Linked DNA regions of Pelodiscus sinensis. The protein of the gene in region 1 interacts with the protein of each later gene in a pairwise test. Links are inferred from orthologs where the notes say so. Each region holds a gene or a part of one and is shown in the gene's direction. Other genes may lie near its edges.

The links.
Region 2: the proteins of KIFC3 (region 1) and USP2 interact in binary tests that used the Homo sapiens proteins (3 or more experiments, as listed by UniProt). The two-hybrid records come from large-scale screens. The link is inferred for Pelodiscus sinensis from reciprocal best matches to the Homo sapiens genes KIFC3 and USP2.
Region 3: the proteins of KIFC3 (region 1) and LENG1 interact in binary tests that used the Homo sapiens proteins (3 or more experiments, as listed by UniProt). The two-hybrid records come from large-scale screens. The link is inferred for Pelodiscus sinensis from reciprocal best matches to the Homo sapiens genes KIFC3 and LENG1.

What each region holds. Positions count from the first base shown.
Region 1 is NC_134722.1:45,848,993-45,856,876, reverse strand, and holds the start of KIFC3 (kinesin-like protein KIFC3), read left to right. Parts: upstream 1-4,877; 5' UTR 4,878-5,012; intron 5,013-7,884. UniProt on the Homo sapiens protein: Minus-end microtubule-dependent motor protein. Involved in apically targeted transport. Required for zonula adherens maintenance.
Region 2 is NC_134736.1:5,827,527-5,835,333, forward strand, and holds the start of USP2 (ubiquitin carboxyl-terminal hydrolase 2), read left to right. Parts: upstream 1-4,684; 5' UTR 4,685-4,835; intron 4,836-7,783; exon of another isoform or gene 7,784-7,807. Other genes in the region: THY1 (thy-1 membrane glycoprotein), read left to right, coding at 2,070-2,182. UniProt on the Homo sapiens protein: Hydrolase that deubiquitinates polyubiquitinated target proteins such as MDM2, MDM4 and CCND1. Isoform 1 and isoform 4 possess both ubiquitin-specific peptidase and isopeptidase activities.
Region 3 is NW_027465849.1:4,029,919-4,037,951, forward strand, and holds the start of LENG1 (leukocyte receptor cluster member 1), read left to right. Parts: upstream 1-4,910; 5' UTR 4,911-4,995; coding exon 4,996-5,127; intron 5,128-5,829; coding exon 5,830-6,012; intron 6,013-6,491; coding exon 6,492-6,745; intron 6,746-7,090; coding exon 7,091-7,307; 3' UTR 7,308-8,033. Other genes in the region: voltage-gated chloride channel TMC4, read left to right, coding at 1-109, 645-800, 1,095-1,173, 1,859-1,909.

The sequences.
Region 1 (7,884 bases):
GACCTAGTTTTCTCTCTTTTTTTTTTGGAATGTCAGTTCACCGATGACCTCTTGGTTAAGCCAGGGTGATCTCTGGCCATAATTCCCATCTTTTCTATGCAGTGGGATATTTAGCTCTTGTCCCCTTAATAATGTCTCTTTGAAAAACTGCCAACTCTCCCAAACTGTTTTTCCTTTAATGTTGCTTCCCTTGGCTCTTACTTTACCAACTCATTGAGTTTGCTAAAGTCTCCCGTCTTGAAATCCATGTACTGAATTGTAGTTAAGATAAAGCACAATACATTTGTGCATATTGGGTACATTTGTTTGTATATTTCATGGCATACAGCAAGAAAAATGAAGGTGAGATGGTCCCGTTTGACTCCACAACCAACTCAAAATTAAGTACATTTTATTAATTTAACTTTGGGGGACTTTGCAATGGATTTGTGGCTGTTCTTTCATCTGTAAATAGTAGCGCTCCATTCATGTGGAAATCAGAGCTAGCATACAGGTGAACCTGTACATGTATAAGCACACACTCTATGGCTGTGTCTAGACTGGCAAGTTTTTCTGCAAAAGCTTTTGCGGAAAAACTTGCCAGCTGTCTACACTGGCCGCTTGAATTTCCGCAAGAACGCTGACGATCACATGTAAGATTGTCAGTGTTCTTGCGGAAATACTATGCTGCTCCCGTTTGGGCAAAAGCATTTGCGCAAGAGGGCCAGTGTAGACAACACGGTATTGTTTTGCGCAAAAGAGCCCTGATCACGAAAATGGCGATCGGGGCTTTCTTGCGCAAAACTGCGTCTAGATTGGCACGGACGCTTTTCCGCAAAAAGTGCTTTTGCGGAAAAGCGTCCGTGCCAATCTAGATGCTCTTTTCCGCAAATGCTTTTAATGGAAAAACATTTCCGTTAAAAGCATTTGCGGAAAATCATGCCAGTCTAGACGTAGCCTATGTGTGTAGCTTGCACCAAGAGGCCCACAGGAAAGCGATCACGTCTCAATAACAAATACAACGCCAGCCCTGCAACACTTCACCCGGCATGCATTCCCACCCTCTTGCTCAGCGAGGAATAGCTGCTATAAAGTACCTATCCCTATGGGTCTAGATCCTGGGGAGGCTGCATGGGGGGAGACTTTACTCTCTCATATGCCCCTGCACAGCCATATAGTATAAATTGAGCCTTACCATTTCCCTGGTATCACAGCAGTTAATTTTTAACCAATGGCACAAAAACTATGTAAAACAAAATAACCTATTTGCAGTTTTTAGAGAACAGACCTTTTAAAAATAATCCTACAGGTTTCTACTTTATACCTATTGTTTTGAGTAATTTAAATTACCTGGTATTGAAAAGCGTGGTGAGATGTAGAGACATACACTTTCTGTTGCAGCAGTACATGATATCTGCTATTACAGTGTTTTGGTCTCATTAACAGGTTACACTTGGGAACTTTAGACATAAAAGCTGAAGAATGATGCTGTACTATAATAGCTTGTTTACACTGCTGATTAACAGTAACAGGCAACCAGTAATAATTACTCGATGCTTGTAAACTTTTCTCAGGAGACACTAAATTGTTACAGCTGGTAGAAAATGTTCTCAGCAACATTTCCTAGTAGTTGTTGACTATCTTGACCCCTAATGGCAGCTGTAGGTATTAATGCCAATGCAGCAAAAGTAGTGTTACCTCATAGTTCTGCAAGCAGACCAATATCTAGTGACCAATATTTAGCAACCAAAGCAATTCAACAGCAATGCTATTTAATTTTGTTGGGAAATACCCTAGTTCTGATTGCCCATTTGCATACTATAATTATTATTTGCCTGCTGTGTTTTGCGTATATGACTTTGAATTTGTACTTGTAAAGTGTGATGTAAATAAACACCCATCACAGTTTTATATATTATCTTCTGTCACATTTTTCTTTGCATGGATATACCTGTTTCATTAACATAGGCAATATTGGCCTCTCTCTTAAATGCAACGAAGAAGATTTATGTGTAAATCCTAATATAATGCTGTGTTCATTCTGCTCAGGTGCATCTACATTGCACCCATCGCTCGAAATAAGCTATGCGATTTGAGCAACGCAAATTACGTAGCTTATTTCAAGTGAATTTCAAAATAGCTTATTTTGTAATTTCAAAATAACCTGCTATTCCGAAACACCCCTTACTCCTTGTGGAATTAGGGTTGCTAGGTGTCCAGTTTTTGCCCTGTCTGGTATTTCCTGTTTCCCTCTGACAGAAGCCCAGCCGGGACAATTTTCTCCTGCTGCATCTGGTGGGGATGGGGGAGTGAGGAGTGCAGGGTCATTTAAAGGTGCAGCACCCCTTTTTTTTCTCAACAGAATTTTTTCCCGGTGGTTTTGTGTGTGTGTGTGTGTGTGTGTGTGTTTGTGTGTGTCTGGGGGGGTGTTCGGTATTTTTGGTTAAACCTTCTGGCAACCCTATGTGGAATGAGGTTTACAGGGACGTCCAAATAGTGACCCCCTTATATTTTGAAATAATGGGTGTGCTGCTAAGACATGGGACAGCTATTTTGGGATACCTTCAGTATCCCAAAATAGCGCCACAGTGTAGATGTAGCTTTCTTGGTTACATATAAAATAAACCTCACACGTTTTCTTGCTTACAATTCATAATAGTTACCAAATTCCATGTCCCCACATCTGGAGATGATCTGGGCCCTACAAGAAAGAACTCAATGTGTTTCATTATACAGGCTGGATTTTTTTTAACCCTAATAGACTGTCTTGATGAACAGCATAAATCAGATTCTAAAACCTCATAGCAGAAAGAGCTTTGTGCCACCTAGGCCTTCCCGAAAAAACTTCCCCTGCGTCCAGACTCAAGCCGCGTTCTTTCGAAATTATTTTGAAAGAACGCGGCTTTTCTTTCGATGGCGGTAAACCTCGTTTCACGAGGAAGAACGCCTTCCTTCGAAAGTTCCTCTTTCGAAGGAAGGCGTTCTTCAATGTAAAGAGGCCGTCTTCGAAAGAGAGCATCCAGACTCGCTGGGTGCTCTCTTTCGAAAAAGCGGATTTCCTTTATCGAAAGATCCGCCTGCAGTCTAGACGCGATCTTTCGAAAGATGCTCTTTCGAAAGATGCTTTCGAAAGAGCATCTTTCGAAAGAAGCCTGCAGTCTAGACATAGCCCTAGTTACTATGTACTTTACACTGATGTGCATTTCTCAAAACGATCACTTAATTTCTGGCAGTAACATTTCCTGAATTGAACTGTGAGTGTTTTATGAGACTGAATTAATTTTCCAGCCATGACTCAACATCTGTGCAATGTAATTTACTGACTCTATTTTTCATTGCATGAAGTCTAGTGATTCAGACTCATGATACTTAGCATCAGGCGTTGGACTGCCCTCTCATTAGATGTACATAGCAAAACAAACCGGATGCAATCTAACATAGATACCTAGGATGACTGGAATAGTAGCTTTTTGTCTTCTACCACAGCTGTCTTCAGGAAAGTCTGTTTCAGCAGAGAAAGAATAGAAAGGTGCAGGAAAAATAGTACTGCATTTGAACAGATTAGTGACAAGCAGAATCTTTAGATCTGTCCTATAGATTGGCTGTATCTTTTTAATGTACTACTGGAAATGTGCTCTGGGGAGTCTCTGATTAATTCTTACTCCTACCATTTTCACTTCCAAAATAAAACAAAAAATCCATTAATTAGCTAATTTAATAATACTTCAAGATATATTGCACAATCTGTAGCTAAGGCACTTGACACACCTGATTCACTGTTGGTTCTGGGAAAGCATTGTCAGGCACAGAAAACTGCTGCTGTTCATCTATGAAGGTGCTTTCTAGCACATCACTAAAAGACTTAAGGATAATTGTTTGAGGCTAGAGAGGAGACTGCATGAATTGCTATTTAGAAAAGTGTGGTCTCAAGCTGGTATTTGTGAAAATGTCTTGAAGTGAATTAATCTGGCCCTGGTCTACACTTGGGCATTATTTTGAAATAACCCCTTTAGGTCAAATTTACAGGAGGCCCCACGAGATGCGACCGCCCGAGTTCCGACCCCCCACATTTACAACCATTTTTGTAAGTGTGGAAGGGGCCGGAAACCACCGACTTACGTCCTTAGCCTGCATTTACGACGGCGCACGGTGCCTGCTGTAAATGCAGGTTCGAGTTACGACGCCCCCGACTTGCAATGCTTCCTCCGGAACGAATCGCGTCGCAAGTTGGGGGCTTCCTATATAAGCAGAGAGTCCATACTACCAAGCCTATTATTTTGAAATAATTGGCCATTTATTTTGAAATGTGCATTCCTGCTTTCCTGGGGGAATAATGCTAATTTCAAAAGAGTTATTTCAAAATAGCATTCGTGTGGACACTCTGGTGCTGCTATTTCAAAATAACTCCTCCCCAGAGGCATTCAAATGAATTACTCCCCAGTGCTTCCTGGGGCTCCGAGACGAGGTAGCATGTCCACATTAACAGAGCCTGCCTCGGACTAATTTCGAGGCTTCCTCGTAGTGGGAATGCTATTTTGATTTTTGTAAAATTGGGAGTTAAGTCAAATGTAATCATTTCGAAATAATTTCCTACTGTAGACATGCCCCTAGTAATCAAATTGCCCTCTCAGGGCTGGGTCCTTTCACATCAGAATTGGAATATATCTCTATGGTATTACGGCACAGGCTTACACTTGCCATATCTTGCTCTCCTTGTTAACCTTTTTTCTGGGAGTGCTTCATAAGCAGAAGCCCTCATTAGTTTATGCCATGAAACATTAATGACCTATTGGATGAACTGTGTATTCTTCCTCAGGGCGATATCTGATTTCGTGGTTCCTAGGCAGCCATCAGAGCTGGCATGAAGCTGGGACTATGCTGTACAGGCATGCATGTCTGACACGTTGTTTAGCAGGGATAGAGAAGAAACGGACATGGTATAGTGCACAGATCTAGAGCATTAAGACTAATCAGTGGTCATATACAAGAGATCCTGTTTCAGAGGAGTTTGAAAAATTAGACAAAATTAAAAGGTAGGTCACTTAACAGGAGCAGAGACAATCCTCTGAATGTTGCAGCTTTTGCACGAAGGCAGCTTTGTGATACGTTGCTTGTCAGTCTGTGAGGTTATGTTCAACTTCTGTATGAGAAATGTTATTTCGATACTAGTGTAATAATGACACGTTGTATAGATGAAGTGTGCTTGTGACTCTTTGAGTGGTTTAGAGCTGCCATAGTAGCTCCATGCTATCCTTGATACTGGTTGTTGGTGCAAGGCATGGTCACAGAAAAGGGGTCTGACCCAAGCATCTCTTTGTTCCAGTGACCCCCATCTGTTGGAATGCACCCTCGGGACCCTAAGTAGCCATCATAAGCTACCAGAGTCCTAAAGTTTGCTGATTTATGCTGTGGATTAAACTGGATTTTGATCCATTGGCCACCTGAATATGGGTATGCAAAGGTGGTCAGGTTACTTTTATAATACTCCCTTCCGAGTCCTGAGCTGTGTTGAATGCAAGTTGGCCATATCTTAGAATTTGGGCCACTGGGTTTAATCCATTCAGTTTGTGCATTTTAAAATGAGTATAAATGCCTCACAAGCAGCTTAATCTTTGTAAAGAGCTTTGATATCCTTGGATAAAAGATATTGTAGAGATACAGAATATTATTATTTTATTAATTTTATATAGGATTTGGCAAATCATATCTCAGCTGCTCCCAAAAACCTCCTCACAGTTGAAGGTTCCTATGCTGCAGTAAAACTCTAATAATGAGCTAGGCTGTAATGAAATGGTCTCTAGAGACACAGTCTCATTACAATTGATCTTTCTGGTGAGGATTTTCAACAAGGAGAGTTGAGACTTTAATTCTGCTCCTATCTGTGTTTCTGGATTAGGGGTTTTTTGTTTTTTGTGTTTTTAATATATATATAATCAGGTTGTTTGTCTGGAGAAGTGAGGGAGTTAAATTTTAGCCAGGCTTTTGTAGTTATCTGCCCAGAGGTTTTACAGTTGTAGGTTAAATATTTGCTTGGGGCAGAATGCCTGGCTAATCCAAAAGCACCAATCGCAGATGTATTTCGATTGTTGTAGATTCACTTAGTCCTATGCACTCCATTGGGCAAGTAAAATAAGAATTAACTTGCCTGACTTAACTGGCTTATTTCTCCTTATCTGAGAATTCTCTAAACATTTATGCTTAATGAAAGCGACTCCCATAGCACTGGCTCTGTCATAAAGTTTTGGTAATGCATATCAATTCTGACCCCAACATTCCAGCTAATGAAATTAAGGGATTTTTCTGAGCGGACAGTCACAACTGTGATGATTTTGTGCTATGAAAAACGATCTACTAAAAAGAACATTGAAACTTGCCAGACTTTTTTAGTGTATTCATTCAATTACACTTTAATACAATCCAAATGAACATTCATTAACCACAGCATGCCTGTCAATTACCCCTTTTCCCTCTTCTGCTCCAAATGGTCTTTCTTGTCTGACTGTTTACTGCCACGTAGGAAAATGTGAATTTGAGAGTTTCTTGACATGGAATTATCTGGGGTCACTGCAATTTTCAGCTCACTGCAGTGTATATGTACATTTCTATCACTATTCTGCAGTTTATATTGCAGTCAAGAATGCATATCTGATGGAACTGGTTCTGGTGAGTTCAGTTTGTTCCTTATGCAACACCAGTCCTTACTGTAGCCATGCTCGCTGTGGGACAGATGTTAAAATTATTTCCCACATTTTACTCAGTCATTGCTCAGGCAAGCTCTCATGACATACAGTGAAAGTTTGTCTGAGTAAAAACTAAGTAAAGATTTCAGACTATGGCTCTATATCATTATCATCAGTGTTTTTTTTGTAAAAAAAAAAAAAAAAAAGTGCCAGTACTCTTTAAGACCCAGCCAACTGTTAGCCATTTTCATTACAGAGGTGCCGGTACTCTCTGTTCTTTCCAGGTAAGCTCTGCGTACTGGGCAGTACCATCACAAAAAAAAGCACTGATTATCGTTATGTGGCTTGTGGAATATTTGTAGTGTTATTGCTGAAGTGAGTATGATTTTGTGCTCAGTAAAAACAACGAGGAGTCCTGTGGCACCTTAGGGTGTGTCTATACAGCAAAGTTATTTCGGAATAACAGGAGTTATTTCAAAATAACTATGTGAGCGTCTACACAGCAATTCCATTATTCTGAAATAATTTCTAAATAACGGACAGCTTATTCTGACTTTTGTAAACCTCATTCTACGAAGAATAACACCTATTCTGAAATAGCTGCTGCTATTTCGAAATAGCCCCTCACCAGGGCCATTCTAAGTTATTCCTCCTGGGGCTCTAAATCGATGTATCACATCTACATTAGGGAAGCCTGCCTCGGACTAATTTTGAGGCTTTTCTGCAGTGTAGACGTGCTATTTTGAAATAAGCTATTTTGGAATAACTATTCCAGAATAGCTTATTCCGAAATAACTGTGCAGTGTAGACATTGCCTTAGAGACAAACAGATTTATTAGGGCATAAGCTTTCCATTGGTAATTGGGTTTTGAAATTTTTTGTAGAAGGATGGCTACTTTCAAATCCATGACTGAATGCCCAGGACATCCTTTTACAGAAGAATTTCAAAACATGCTTACAAAGGGAGACAGCTGAACTGGAGCTCATTTGCAAATTCAATACCATTCAGGACCGAGTAAGGATCTGAACTGGTTAATGTACGACAAAGGCAATTTCCCCTCTTTTAATATTCACATCTCCATACCAAATGCAGTTAATGAGCCACTTCTACCCTGATTTGATTGGCTTCGTTAACGCCATATAAATACCCCTGCCTCTGTAGCTTCCACTCCAACTCATCTGATGAAGTGGGTTTTACCTATGAAAGTTTATGCCCTAATAAATC
Region 2 (7,807 bases), on another chromosome or scaffold:
CTGCACCCTCCCTCCCTCCTAAAACCCCCACCCACTCCTGCACCCTCCCTCCCTCCTAAAACCTTCACCCCTACCCCAACCTGCACCCTCCCTCCCTCCTAAAACCCCCATCCACTCCTGCACCCTCCCACCCTCCTAAAACCCCCATCCACCCCTGCACCCTCCCTCCCTCCTAAAACCTTCACCCCTACCCCAACCTGCACCCTCCCTCCCTCCTAAAACCCCCATCCACTCCTGCACCCTCCCTCCCTCCTAAAACCCCCATCCACTCCTGCACCCTCCCTCCCTCCTAAAACCTTCACCCCTACCCCAACCTGCACCCTCCCTCCCTCCTAAAACCCCCATCCACTCCTGCACCCTCCCTCCCTCCTAAAACCCCCATCCACTCCTGCACCCTCCCTCCCTCCTAAAACCTTCACTCCTACCCCAACCTGCACCCTCCCTCCCTCCTAAAACCCCCATCCACTCCTGCACCCTCCCTCCCTCCTAAAACCCCCATCCACTCCTGCACCCTCCCTCCCTCCTAAAACCCCCACCCACTCCTGCACCCTCCCTCCCTCCTAAAACCTTCACCCCTACCCCAACCTGCACCCTCCCTCCCTCCTAAAACCCCCATCCACTCCTGCACCCTCCCTCCCTCCTAAAACCTTCGCCCCTACCCCAACCTGCACCCTCCCTCCCTCCCTCCTAAAACCTTCGCCCACTCCTGCACCCTCCCTCCCTCCTAAAACCCCCACCTGCTCCTGCACTTTCCCTCCCCCCCCCCCCCCGACCCAACAACCTACCTCAGCCTGCTCTCCAGTGGCCCCCTCCATACACTTGAACCCCTCTTTTGCCCTACCCTAGAGCCTGGGGGACCCCACAAAATCTGCTAGCACCAGGCCCCCAGAAGAGTTAATCCAGCCCCTTTTCTCTGCTTTTTTGGGGGGGCACACGTGTGAGGGAGAAGGGGTGTGTGTGGTGCCTTTCCTCCTCACTTGAGGGGCTAGGTCAGTGACAGTGGGTGGGCAGGGTTATCTTGGGGTGGGGGGGGGGTTGCTGCTCCCTTGTGGGCAGCGGCCCCTGACCCAAAAAGGGATTCCAACCCCTGGCTGAGATCTCGGCCCGTAAGCCAGGACTTTCCACCCCACTGAGTCTCCCTCCCCTACACACATTCCAAGGCCATCTGGCCCTCCAGTGCCCTGGGCCTTTGCAGACATCTCTCGGAGACTCTCTACCATCCAACTTTCCGCTGGGCCCTGGAAGTCCTAGGGCCACCAGCCGTGAACTGGGGAATGGGCCGGATCAGAGCCTTGTGCCTTTGGCTGCCCTTTGAACCTCGCCCTGATCTCTAGACTTTGTCCGTCTCCCAGCAGCCCACGTGTGGGCCGGGAGTGAGTCTCCGTGGACAGTCGCTCACGTCACACACAGAGAGCCCATCGGGGCTGGTATTCGTTGGCCCCTTTGTTACCCTGGCTCAGCAGAGGACAAGGACCGAAGGGGCCAGCCCTCCCCTGCAGGGACCCAGGACTGACCCACACCGGGGCAGTTAGCCCCACCTCTGCCCACCCTGATCTCTAGGGAGGGGATTCCAGCCCCTCGGGCTGTTCGCACATTGTGTGGTTCCCTCTGGGGACTCTTCCCAGCCCAGAGTGCCACCAAGCAGCCCCCTGGGGTCAGGAAGATCCGTCCGGATGGACAGGATCAAGCATAATTGTCCCCGAGGGGTTTCTTCCACTGCCTTCAAAGCAGCTAGTGCTGGCCCCTGTCGGAGACGGGACACGGAGCATGGACTTGTAGTAGGACCACGAGCCCCCAGGCGAGAGCGGAGCCCTCTCAGGCCAGCCTGGGCAGACAGTGGGAACTGCTCCCTTGCCCCAAGGAGCTCACAGGCCCCCTAGAGAAGAGAGAGAGAGTGGGAGGGGAAAGAGGCCAGGGAGGGGAAGGTTACGCAGCTGGCCGATGGCAGAGCCGGGCAGAGAACCCAGGTGCCCCGACTCACGGCTCCCCATCGGTCCTTTCTCCACGGATCTCACATTGCCTCTTCTCTCTTTCCCCTCCCTTCCCCCCTTCTCCCCCCGCCCTGGCAGACAAGCTGGAGAAATGTGCCGGCATCAGCCTCTTGATTCAGAACACCTCGTGGCTGCTGCTCCTGCTCCTGTCCCTGCCGCTCCTGCAAGCTGTGGACTTCATGTCCCTGTGAACGGAACAGGCGCCCGCACCGACCGGCCGAGCCCCACCGCCCAAACGTGGCCCTTTGCAAGAGAAGACGAAGAACGATTTGAAACCAAGGAAATCTCTCTGTGTATATCTCTCTATATATCTGTATAGCTACCGGTACCGCCTGCCCCCCGCTGCCATCACACCACATGTCCAAACCACGCTGGGGGCCGGGGTGGGGGGGTTTCTAAGCAGTATTAAAGGATCCGACGCATGGTGGCCTTCCCTTGCTCTCTGCTAGATGGTGCAGCTTCTTCCATAGCCAGTTTGGTGGTTTGTTTTCAGGGGCAAGGGTGCAGCTTTGCTTGTCCTGTTTTTTGTCTTTCAAGGAGGAGGAGACCCAGGGGGGCCCCTGGACCTGACTCTGGTAAGAGAGATGATCACAGAGTTAGGGAGCGAAGGGGGCCTTTTAGCCACACCCCAGCCTGGGAACGGCTGCTCGCTCTGGAGTGGAGGGGTGCCCCTGTGGATAGGTTTGGCCTGGGTTAGCCAACCTCAGGCAAAGGGAAAGCTTTTGGGGGGGGCTGTGCAGTAGCTTTTCACCCCGGGGCAGCTGGGCTTGACTCCTGCAGGGAGAATAATTTAGGTGAGCGCTTATTCTGTTCTTTAGCAGCCATCAGTCCCCCATTGCACCAAGCCATGGTCCTTGGCACTGCTTGCTTCTCCAGCGGAGGGAAGGGCCAGCATTAAAACAACAAGGCATGATGTTGAGTGGGCGGGGAGGGTCATGCTACATGGAGCCCCGACTGCAGCCACCACAAGGGGGTGCTGCAGGGCTCGTGTGGGGCGCAGGGCCGGACTGGTCAGAGGCACCAAAAGAGCAAGGAGCTTTAGGACTGAGGTGCCACTGCAGCCCTGCCCACGCAGAAAGGCCCATCGCTCCGGGAGCAAGCCCTCCCCCGTAAGATCAGAGGCTGGCGGTTCGGTTAGGAGGTTGGGGGGAGAGAGGAATTCGCCCCACGGGAGGGAATGCAGGAGACAGCGGTTTCACCAGAGTTCCCTGCACAGCCACTAGCTGGTAGAAACTCCTTGCTCAGCTCGCTGTGGGATTTCCAGGCAGAGGCAAGTGCCTTTCTCCCCAGCAAGCAGGAGGGAGCAGCTGCCTGCCAGTCGAAGGTCCAGCCACGGGCCTGGGCAAGAGAGGATCTACCAGGAGGGTGGGGTGCTGCCGCAGCCCACATCTCTAGAACCAGTCAAAGCTACTCTGTTCCCCCCTCCCGCGCTCATTAGCACACGTGGTTGTCTCCCCCTAGTGGTCATGGGTAGATGGCAGGAGCAGGGGCTGCCCCCAAGCGCCAGGCTCTCATCCCTGCATGCCGCCCTCTGGGTTTGTCCCCTGGTGCTAGTGAGACGGGCTGGCTCAGCTCCTTGCCTGGCCTGGCTTTCCTCCTGCAGCGTAGTTTCCCTCCAGCATCGGGCTAGCGCACGACCGGCCAGAGGGCAGGGGGGTGGCAGTCTTCCTCCCTGGCAGGTTGACGGGCTCTGGGCAGGCCTTGCCTCTCCGCAGGAGCCGAAAAGGCCACGACAGGTGTTTCTTGTGGCCAGCGGTTTGCTGTGTGACAGGCACCCCAGACTTAGAGTCCCCAGCTTGAGGCCAGAGCAGGGAGCTTCCAGGATGGAGGCCTAGGACTTCCCAGTGAAGGACTCTCCTGAGCCCAGCTAGCCAGCAGGGGGGGGCTTCACCTTGCTGTCCCCGGACATGGTCATCTCCCCTGGGCCGAGCCGCAGGGCGAGGGAGGAGCAGAGGTCCCCGGCCGGCCCCTGCTGCACACGTGGGGCCGTGGGAAAGCAGGAGGATGGGAACGGACCTGCGAGCTGGGGGGGGGAGCCGGAAGGGCTAAGGGTGCCCGGCTCTGGGGAGTTGGACCCAGCCCCTGCTCGGCTCGAGGGTGCTGAGTGTGAGACAACCGCAGTGCGGCGGCTGGCTCCGGTGAGCCGCTTTCCCGCCAGGCCCCCTGCTCGTTCGCTGTCCAGTGCGCTCCCCTGCCCGGCTGTCCGGCCCTGTGCATCTCCCCCTGACGGCAATGGCGGGGGAGGGGGCGGGGGCAGACCCAGGCACCCCCCACTGGTGTTTCCTAGTCTCGTTGCGTGACCATTTGTCGTGTTTCCACAGCTTGGTGTACAAGAAATGCTGTTGGGGGGGGGGGGGGGAGGAGGACCAGACCTCTGCACAATAAACCCCTGGTTGTGTGTTGGATTCCCAGCGCCTCCTTATTTCCGCCGGGGGAGGGGGGGGGCAAGAAGCGCTTTGTGTTTCCTCTCCCGGGGGGCAGCCGTCAGGACGGGCCTGGCGCTGGCCCGCCCTCTAGTGGCGACAAGCGGGACTGCTGGGCTGTGTGTCCTAGCCCCTCTACTGCCGGGGGAGGAGGGCGCGCTAGGGGCTCTGTAAACGGCCGCGTGCGGGCTCGCCCTGCCTGGCTGCGGCCTCGGCCCCTCGCTGCTCCCGGGAGCCGCACGGGCGGGGGCCCGAGTAGCATCAGGGGCGGGGATCCCCGCGGTCCCGGCCCTACGGGGCCCGCCCGGCAGCAGCCTCCCCGCCCCGCGTCAGCTGCGCCCCGATTGTGACATCAGCCTCGGCCGGGCCCCGGCGGCTGCACCAAGGTGACCGGCGCCGGCTCATCCCCGCCCAGAGCCAGGTGAGTGCGGGGCGGCCCCCCCCCCGGTTCTGTGCGCCCTGGGGGGGACCTGGTCCCCCTGGCACAGTGCCAGCCCCACCTGGGGGGGATCTAGGGGAGCCCCCCCCGGCACAGTGCCAGCCCCACCTGGGAGGGGATCTAGGGGAGCCCGCCCCCCCGGCACAGTGCCAGCCCCACCTGGGAGGGGATCTAGGGGAGCCCGCCCCCCTGGCACAGTGCCAGCCCCACCTGGGAGGGGATCTAGGGGAGCCCGCCCCCCTGGCACAGTGCCAGCCCCACCTGGGAGGGGATCTAGGGGAGCCCGCCCCCCTGGCACAGTGCCAGCCCCACCTGGGAGGGGATCTAGGGGAGCCCGCCCCCTGGCACAGTGCCAGCCCCACCTGGGAGGGGATCTAGGGGAGCCCCCCCCCGGCACAGTGCCAGCCCCACCTGGGAGGGGATCTAGGGGAGCCCCCCCCGGCACAGTGCCAGCCCCACCTGGGGGGCATCTAGGGGAGCCCGCCCCCCCGGCACAGTGCCAGCCCCACCTGGGAGGGGATCTAGGGGAGCCCGCCCCCTGGCACAGTGCCAGCCCTACCTGGGAGGGGATCTAGGGGAGCCCGCCCCCCCGGCACAGTGCCAGCCCCACCTGGGGGGGATCTAGGGGAGCCCGCCCCCTGGCACAGTGCCAGCCCCACCTGGGAGGGGATCTAGGGGAGCCCGCCCCCCGGCACAGTGCCAGCCCCACCTGGGAGGGGATCTAGGGGAGCCCGCCCCCCTGGCACAGTGCCAGCCCCACCTGGGAGGGGATCTAGGGGAGCCCCCCCCGGCACAGTGCCAGCCCCACCTGGGGGGGATCTAGGGGAGCCCCCCCCTGGCACAGTGCCAGCCCCATCTGAGGGGGATCTAGGGGAGCCCCCCCCGGCACAGTGCCAGCCCCACCTGGGGAGGATCTAGGGGAGCCCACCCCCTGGCACAGTGCCAGCCCTACCTGGGGGGCATCTAGGGGAGCCCGCCCCCCTGGCACAGTGCCAGCCCCACCTGGGGGGGATCTAGGGGAGCCCGACCCCCTGGCACAGTGCCAGCCTCACCTGGGAGGGGATCTAGGGGAGCCCGCCCCCCTGGCACAGTGCCAGCCCCACCTGGGGGGGATCTAGGGGAGCCCGCCCCCCTGGCACAGTGCCAGCCCCACCTGAGCAGGCTCTAGGGGCCATGTGGCCTTATGGCGCAGTGAGGCTCTGTGTCTGTCAGGGTTCCCTCCCCCCTAGGCCATGCCCTCTGCTTCCCGCCAGCCTCCACCCCACAAAAGCAAATCTGGCCAGGCCAGCCCCGGGGGGTTGTGCCAGCCCCGGCTCGGCTCGGCTCTGTATAAGCGATGGGCATGGGGCTGGGGCCTCGCTGAGAAAATCTCTTCCCCCACTCAGCCCCTGCCAGAGTCATCTGGGTGTTAGGGGCGTGCCCCATCCTGCGGGCGGGGGGCGGGGGACGGGGGAGAATGTGACACGGCTGCTCCCCTGCCCCACAGCAAAGGCAGGGTCTGGGCAGAGGGAGGCCTGGGCACGTGCCCAGTCTGCTTCATTCCCCCAGATCAGCGCCAGCCCCCCAGAGCCAGGCCTGCAGCCCCCCTGCGTGCGCGTGCACTCGTGCCTCGCCGCACGCGCACCTGGGCCGTGCCAGCACGCCCTGCGGGTGCACACGCACCTCCCTGTGGCCCCGGGATCCTCCAGCTCCCTCCCCCAAGCCGTGGGCGAGAGGGGCCGTCCGGCCGAGTGCCTGTCTCCGGCGCCCGTGAGCAGAGCTGCTGAGCTGACTGGGCCCGAAGAGAGCAGGCTCCCTGAGCACAGCGGGAGGAGAAACATTCTCCCGGCTCAGGGTGGAGCTGCTGGAAAAGGGGCCTTCCCCGGTGTCGCAGCGCCCGATAGATCCCTGGCATCGTCCCGTGGGCCCCCGAGGGATAAAAGCGGCCCAAGTGTTTTCCCAGCGCCATACCTGGGCTGTAGCATCCAGGTGAGGGGAACAGGGAGGGAAGTGGCAGCTTAATTGCATCCTGCCTCGTTACTCACAGGACTGAGTCACTGCCCTCCGCTGCTCCCGAGCAGCCCCGATTCACGCGGGCACTGACTTCAGGGGAGTTACACCAGGGTGACGCTGACCCTGGGCCTTCTGGCCAGGCACCTCCCTGGCTCTGCTGCCTGCCAGGAGCGGCTGCATCCCTCTCGCTGAAGAGCCCTGGAGGGGCAGAAGGGGGCGAACGGCCTAGCTTGCACAAAGCTCCCTGGGCCCCATCTCCTGCCCCCAGGAGGGCCACCCCACTGCTGTCAGGCCAAGCAGAGGGGGTGGAGCTCTCACAGAGGATCCCAGAAGCACCCACGGGTGCCATATGGACCCCCGGCCCCTCGGGGTCAGCGTGGGGCTGTGCACTGTCTGGGCTCCTCCTCACCATCTCCTCCCGGGTCCCACACTCAGCACCGTGGCATCTGCCTGCCAGGAGAGCAGGAGGGACCATGTCCCAGTCCACTGCTTTCCTGGGGAGGATGCTGTTCCTCCCAGACGGAGCTGGGCTGGGTGCCAGCAAGCAGCATTTCTGGGGTCCCTTGTGGGCAGTTGCCTGCTATTCATCCTTCTCCCCAGCAATCCTGTCTCCCCTCCCTTGGCCTCAACCCCTCTCTTCCCTTCTCCCCTTGTGTGGTTCCCCCTCACGCCAGCCCCCCTCTTCTCTTCCCCCCACTCCAGAACCCGTCCCCTCGAAATCTGCTACAACTCCCTTTTGCCGACTCCCAAAGCTTCTCCTTCCCCCAGTCCGCCTCCGCCTCCTCCCCTCCCCGGAGCCCCCTCTCCAGGCCGGGCCCGGCCCCCAGGACACGGGAACCCCTCTCCCGCGCTCTGTGCAGCTGCCTCTTTAAGCCTCCCCATGCTGGAATGCGAGAGGAGGGCTCCAGCTCCCTGTGAGGTCAGATAAGACACTATATTTATCTAGCCGGTAAGCTGAGCCG
Region 3 (8,033 bases), on another chromosome or scaffold:
GCCCGGCCGACCGCACCTTCCGCGCCTCCAGCTCCAGCTTCTTCTTCCTGCTGGTTCTGCTGCTGGGCCTGGCCATCTCCTGGGTGCCCGTCCTCTACAGCGTCTTTGTGTGAGTGCCCTCCCCCGGCCCTGTTCCCACAGTTCTCTGGGGTCTCCACCCCCCCTCAGCTCCCTGGGGTCCCTGCCCCCCCTTGCCTAGCCCCCCTGGCAAGGTCCCCCACCTCCTCCCCAGCTTCCTGGGGCCCCCACCCTCTCATCTGGTCCCTGGGTCCCTGCCCCCCCTTGCCTAGCCCCCCCTGCAAGGTCCCCCACCCCCTCCCCAGCTTCCTGGGGCCCCCACCCCCTCATCTGGTCCCAAGATTTCCCCGCAGCTCCATGGGGTTCTCTGCCCCCTCACTCAGCCCCTCAGCTCCTCTGGTTGCCCCCACCCTGAGAGTTCTCCCCCCCCAGCTCTGGAGTGACCCTGAGAACCTGACCCCTCCTGATCTTCCCCCTCCACAGGTCACAACTCCCCCCCTCCCCTCCCCTGACCATCCCCCAGGATGCTGCTGCTGCTCCGCCCCTGACCAGCACTGGGTCTGGACTCTGCTCCCCTCCCCCTCTGCTTCCAGCTCACACTCTCCTCCTCCCCCCCTCCCCCGCAGCCTCCAGCCCTCCCAGGCCTGTGGCCCCTTCCGGGGTGAGCCGACTATGTGGAGCATCCTCTCGGCAGCCGTCGACGCCCTGCCCCGCGTGGCCCGGGAGTTCCTGCAGTTTGTGGGCTCGCTGGCCTTCGCCGTGCCGCTCTTCCTGCTGCTGTGGTGAGGGGCCACTGCGGAATCCCCCTGGGCCGGGGGCGCTAGGGGGGATAGGACACACAGGGGTTCGGGGGGAGGGGGGCAGGTCTGACCCTGGACAGCAGGGACACGGACACACAGCAGGGCCTGTCCCCTCCAGCAGGGATGGACGGACAGACACACACACAGAATTCTGTGCTGGCTCCGCAGATAATCCCCCTTCTGACATTCCCCCCTTGCCAGGTCCCTGCCTCACGGCCCCTACCCCCCATCTCTCACGAGCCTCCTGACCTTTGCTCTTCCCTTCCCCCACTGCAGCATCCTCATGTTCTACCTGATGGCCCTGGCTAATTCCTACAGCCGCCTGGTGAAGGAACTCAAAGGGCAGCTCCGGCTGGTGAGTGACGTCAGGGCGCCTGTCCCCTCTAGGGTGGCTGGCTGGCTCAGAGAATGGGGCCCAGGGCCTTTCCCCTTTAGGGGCGTTGGCTCCCCTCTGGCCTCAGGGTGAGGACTGGCTGGCACAGAAGGGCGGAGATTGGGCCCCGGGGCTTTTCACTGCTGCGGGAGAGCCGGTTCCCGTCTCAAATCACCGTTAGCCGGTGGGACTCCCTGCTGCAAGATGATCTGCCTGGCAGGATGGGACACTGACAGGGATAAATGAGGAACAGTGTACGCCCCACTTCGGCCACTAGGGGCTGCCGTGGTACCTGCTCCGAAGTGGATGGGACGGGGCTGTGGCAGAGGCAGGATGCCAGGGTAGAGGGGCCCTCGGAGTGCCCTAGATGGCTGTACTTATTCTCTAGGACAGTGGTTCCCAAACTTTTCGGCATCACGCCCCCTTTTTGATTTTTGAAAAACCTTCACGCCCCCCCTCCCCCAAAAAATAACAGCAAAACTTGTTGAGCAAAAAAAAAAAAAAGGAACTGACCAGGGCAGCAAAACTTGATGGGGGGGGAGGAGGCTGGGTTGCCTCGCATCCCCCCTGGAATTTCTTCACCCCCCCCCAGGGGGGTACGCACCCCAGTTTGGGAACCCATGCCTAGGGTTTCCCCACTGCTTTTTAACCCTTTCTTCTCCCACAGGAGGGGCGGAATAAAGTTTTCTTAGTGACTCAGATCACAGAGCTGAGTTAAGGAGAGCGCAGCAGACGCCACGATTTCCCCTCCCGGAACAAGACAACTCCGCCAGCTGATTTGCGGAGGGTTCTTGACCTAACTTGTTGGACCATCCCTCCCCGGCCAGCGACACCGATTCCCTGTGCGCCGAGACTGCCCCCTGCTGGAGGGGAATGACAGAAACCCCCAAAGAGCCCAGAGCTTGTTTCTGTCCCCTCGCCCGACACGGCCCCTCTGAGGTGGTGCCCAAGGGCATTTATACAGAGACCTGGTGCTAAGAACCAGCTTCTCTTTACCACCAGCCAGCACCACTGTTCAGTTTCAGACAGGAAGTGAAGTAGAACCCGGCGCGTGACTGACATTCTTTCAGGAGAGGTGTTATTCCTTGTGTTTGAAATGAGCCCGGATTCCACACTCCATTCTCGTGTTCTCTTTCCCGCCCCGGGCTAGCCCCACATCCTCCAAACGGTGGACCCATGTGAATCTCCTGCCGCCAGCTGGCTGCAGAACTCCACTGGCGCAGTCCAGGGTAGCTGCGCTGGTATTCCCCAGCTACAAGACCTGATCCGTCTCCCCGTTTTGGCAGAGACCTGCGTCTCTCCCTCCCTGATTGGGGGTTTTCAGGCTGATTTCATCGTACACACACACCCAAACCCCAAAAGAGATACTGCTATTGACAATCATTGGCATTTACAACTAGGCCAAGCCCGAGAAACCCTGCGTGAGAACTTCCCAGCGTTTGATTTCAGGCCCCTTTCTAGGTGTATTTTGTGCCCCAATGATAACAATTTAACATCTTATAAAATTGTAACTTTTTGAGTCTCTCACACCTAATGTTATTAAATCACTGTGTGACGCCCACCCCCAACCTCCTGCCCCAGACATTTTTTAACCCTCTTCTGATTTTTCTGCAGCTGGGAAAAGTGGTGGGAAAAAGTTACAACGAAAGCACCATTTTTGGTTGAAATTAAAAAGTAAAAATAGAATGCTACTTGGTCAAAGGGTAAGTAATCAAGGTGGCCACGGGGGGGGGGGGGGGGGGGGGAGGCCTGGTGTGCAGGGCTCAGAAAAGGGCAACAAAAAGGATCGAGCATTTGGAATGGGTCCCATATAGAATCATAGAATCATAGGACTGGAAGGGACCTCGAGAGGTCATCGAGTCCAGCCCCCTGCCCTCAAGGCAGGATCAAGCTCCGTCTACACCATCCCTGACAGATGTCTATCTAACCTGTTCTTAAATATCTCCAGAAAGGGAGATTCCACCACCTCCCTTGGCAATTTATTCCAATATTTGACCACCCTGACAGTTAGGAATTTTTTCCTAATGTCCAATCTAAACCTCCCCTGCTGCACTTTAAGCCCATTACTCCTTGTCCTGTCCTCAGAAACCAAGAGGAACAAATTTTCTCCTTCCTCCTTGTGACACCCTTTTAGATATTTGAAAGCCGCTATCATGTCCCCCCTTAATCTTCTTTTTTCCAAACTAAACAAGCCCAGTTCATGAAGCCTGGCTTCATAGGTCATGTTCTCTAAACCTTTAATCATTCTTGTCGAAGAGAGATTGAAAAGACTGGGATTTGTCAACTTAGAAACGAGGAGACTAAGGGAGGATAAGGAGAGGTCTATAAAATTATGACTGGTGTGGAAAAAGTGAATAAGGAAAAGTCATTTACTTGTTCCCATAAGAACTAGGGGTCACCAAATGAAATGAATAGGTAGCAGGTTTAAAACAAACAAAAGGAAGTTTTTCTTCACCCAGTGCACAATCTGTGGAACTCCCTGTCTGAGGACAAGGTTCAACAACTAGGCAAATTTATGGAGATTAGGTAAATTTGCTCTCCCCCCTAGTCTCTGTCAGAAGCTGGGAATGAGTGACAAGGGAGGGCTCATTTGATGATTTCCTGTTTTGTTCATTCCCTCTGGGGCATCTGCCATTGGCCACTGTCGGCAGATAAGATCCTGGGCTAGATGGACCTTTGGTCTGACCCAGTGTGGCCGTTCTTACGTTCAGGGCTAGAGGCAAGTAGTGGTGGGTTTGTCCCATCCATCCTGCTACTTCCACTGTTTCAGCGAGTGCTTGGTCTCCTGCCCTAGGGATGTTAAAATGAATGTGTTTATTTAGGTAAACATGTAACCGCTTAAAGTTTCATGGAGGCAGGAGCTGGCTTGTGCGTGCTGCCTGTGAGCATTGGCTCCTGCATGCTTGACTCCCCCCCCCCCCCCCACCTTGCTGCTGCCTCTCTCAGAAGCAGCAGTGGGGTGGATGGAGGGAGGCAGGTGGATCTGTGGGAGCTGGTACGTGTGGGAAGCAGGCTTAAAAGCTGGCTCCCACCTCTCCCCCGACACTGCAGCCTCTGATAAAGAGGGGAAGGGGGGGGGGACTGGGTGTAACTGTGAAGGTTATCCAATGAGCCCACTGTTCACATCTCTGCCCTGCTCTCCCCCCGGCTGCAAGGGAGGCCGTGTGATTCTGTGCATGCTGGGTACCCAGGAAGGGCCATACGGTGTCAGACCAATGGCTGGTCACCTGGCAGCGTCGTGTGACCCGGCTGCTGCCAGAGCTGGGGTGCAGCGCAGGGGGTGGGGGTGAGGGGAGGCTCAGGCTGGTCTCCCCATTGGTGTTGGGGGAAGGGCGGGTCCTGCGGCGAGGAGTTCCGCTGGTTTGCAGATGGGGCTGGCACTGGGGGGCAGACAGAGAAGGGGGGAGGGGGCGGGGGAGGACAGAGATGGGGGAGGGGGCCGGGGTGTCTCACTCCTCTGGGGGGGCAACAGCTCCAGGGTGGGGGAGGGGAGGTGTGAAAATGGGGCCTTGGCCCGTCCAATGGGCTACAAGGGGCTGTGCCTGTGTCCAGCTTGGCCCAATCAGAGCTTGGCTGAGGGGCGTGGCTACAATAGGCCAATGAGAGAAGAGCTCGGGCGGGAGGTTGGATGGGGACCAATCAGGCAAAAGGGGCGGTGCTGCGTTGGGTCTCCAATCAGGGAGCGAGGGCGGGACTAGGACCCGCGAATCAGGATTCAGAGCGGGGGAAAGGGGGCGGCTCTGGAACGCGGAGCTGACCCGGAAGCTGAAGTGGCGCGGCGCCGGGCGGACCCGAGCGGGGACCATGAACATCCTGCCGAAGAAGTCGTGGCACGTGCGGAACAAGGACAATGTGGCCCGCGTGCGGCGGGACGAGGCGCAGGCGCAGGAGGAGCAGCGACAGCGGGAGGCTCGGGCGCTGCTGGCCGAACAGGAGGTGAATGACTGCGCATGCGCACGCCATCAAGCGGCCGCGAGTGCGCATGCGTGACAGTGAACACTCGTGCCATGGGGTCATGGGTTGAACTATTTTTAAGCGTCTGGGGGGGTAAGAACCTGGGTTAAACCATTTCCAAAAGGAGTGAAAACGAAACGGGAGCGGGGCTGAGCCATTTCTAAACGGCGTAGGGATAAAGAGGCAGGGAGCTCTGGGATTTACCGTTTTCAAATATGGGAGGGAAAGCAGAAGAAAGGGGAACTGGGCTGAACCATTTCCAAAGGCAGGGGGAGTGAAGCAGACCAGAAGGGAGCTGGGCTGAACCATTTCCAAAGGCAGGGGGAGTGAAGCAGACCAGAAGGGAGCTGGGCTGAACCATTTCCAAAGGCAGGGGGAGTGAAGCAGACCAGAAGGGAGCTGGGCTGAACCATTCCAATGGGGAGGGGGGGTTGAGCTAAACCATCTTCCATGGGGTAGGTCTCTAATCCCACATGCCTCAGTGGATGGGGGGCTGGCGTGGCAGATGCTGCACCAGTAACATCACTGGCCCCTGCCCACTCTGCCCTTGCCCCAGGTGAGGGGAGTGCGTTAGGCCTCAGCCCCACGGCCCCCCAGATCCCCTGCACTGAGCTCATGGCCACCCGGGCCCCCGCCACCCCCGGTGGAGCTGGCCCCACACCCAGCCCCCAATTCGCCCTGTAGGCACGGACCGAGTTCCTGAGGAAGAAGGCGCGGCTGTCTGCCCTGCCAGGGCCCGATGGCAGCTCGGCGCTGGTCCCCTGCGATGAGGAGCCGCGTCACGTCGACCTCTTCCGGGACCTGGAGGAGGGCAAGGGCTCCAAGGCCAGGAACAAGGAATATGAGGAGGAGAAGCGCAAGGAAAAGGTAAAGGGGGGGTGAGGTGGGGAGCAGCACCTGCATTCTCTGGGAGCTCCACCCTGGCTTACGTTGCCCCCGCATAGCTGCATTGATGGGTGGGGGGTCGTGCAATAGAGTAGCTACACCTGCCCTGTTACAGGAGCTGGGGTACAGCTGAGTTTCAGATCCTGGTGTCTTGGAGGAGAGGGGATGAGGGTGGGTATGAACACAGCTCCCTGTAGGAGGAAGAGGCTGTGTACAGAATTGAGGGCTCCCTCTTCCCCCACAACATGCTCTTACACCACTAGAAGGCAGTGCTGCTCCATGCCCTGCACGCTGGCTCCCCCCATCCACCGGTTCTCCATCCCGTTGGCTGCCCTCCAGTTCCTCTTCCCTCGCTGCAAACACTCAGTCTCACCCAGAGCCATGATCGGCCCCACCCTGCCCCCTTACAGATGAGGCTGCCCCCTCTTCTAGGCAATTCAGTTCTGCTTTGTCCCAACCAGGAGCGCCAGGAGAAGGCTATTGGGCTGCTGACCTATCTGGGGCAGAGCGCCGCTGAGGCGCAGACCAGCCGGCCATGGTACCAGGAAGCCCCTGACCGTAGCCTGGAGGCAGCAGCTGTGACCAAGCAGGAAAAGCTGAAGGGCATGCTGGACCCGCTGCGGGAGATGGAAAGTCACCTGCGCAAGAAGAAAGGGGAGGGGAAGAAGCGCAAGAAGGAGAAAGAGGGGCCAGCGGAGGAGAAAGTGGCAGTGGGGTGAGCTGGATACCGGCAGAGCTAGGTTTCAGTGACCTAGTAAGAGTAGCACCATAGAGGGGATTCAGGGACTAAGAGTCCCAGCATGCAATGCTGCAGGCCACAAGGACTACACTTACCAGCATGCAATTTACTTCCCTTGTTCCCAGCTGCAGGTATATTGGGAAGGAGGTGTGGAAATAGAAGCCTACATGTCCCAGCATGCATCACCTCTCTCCTGCAGAGAGAGAGAGAGAGAGAGAGAGAGAGAATTGCATGCTGGGAGTTGTAGTTCTCATGGACCATGCGGCCAGCTGGTAGCCCAGGGCTTAGAGGTCTATGGTTGCCTTCTGCTTGTCCTTGCAGCTCTGCCTCCCTCTCCCTGGAGCAGCTGCGGCGGGAGCGGCTGCGGCGGGAGCAGGCTGAGCGAGCCCGGGCGGAAGTCCTGCTGGCTGGGCGGCTGGGGGAGCCACAGCCCAAGGAAGAAGAGGAGGCGGATGACAGGAAACGTCGCTACAACTCCCAGTTCAATCCGCAGCTAGCGCGCAGGCCCCGTGCCTGGGACGAGAGGGAAAAGCACTGAGCTCTGGGGGCTGAACAGCAGGCCCTGGGCACAGTGGCCCCTGCACCAGGGCCACATGGCAGGCCCAGCAGGGACACGGGCATCACAGCACGGCAGCCGGTGGGATGTCCCAGCACTGACTGCTGCCCTCTTTGCCACCCCCAGGTCAGGAAGGTTGGCTGGGCCGGGGCCTTAAGAGCCAGAGCCCTTCTCACTTCTAAAGGAGGGTGCTGGCTGCTCTGCCAGGGTCCCATGTTAGACTCTCTCCCCCCTTAGCACCCAGTGTTAGCAGCAGCAGGTACCAGGGGCGACCTGAATGCCTCCAAGGCAGGGGCTCCGGTCACATTTACTCACAGGAGGGGGGTGCCTGGCCTGGCCTGGGTTCCGGCTGCAGCGGTGGAAGAACAGTGCAAAGCCTCAGAATCACTGTGCTCTAGGCCCGGCTTGTGGATTTAGTGGTTGGGGGGGCAAGGAAGTCTAGCTCCTGGCTCTGGGAGGGGAGCAGGGTGTAGTGGTTACAGGAAGGGGGCTGGGAGTCAGGACTCCTGGCTTTCAAGTTCCACTTCTGCCTCTGGTTTCTTATGTCCCCACCCCCAATGGTGCCCACCATGCAGTGTGGCTGCTGAGGAGGCCTGGCCCTTTAGCTATGGAGAATAAAAGGTGGCTCCGTCCCTCCACTGAACCCCAGCCTGTATTGGAGTCCCTTGTGCCCCCTCCCTGGCAGGGGATTGTGGTGTGGCTCCCTGC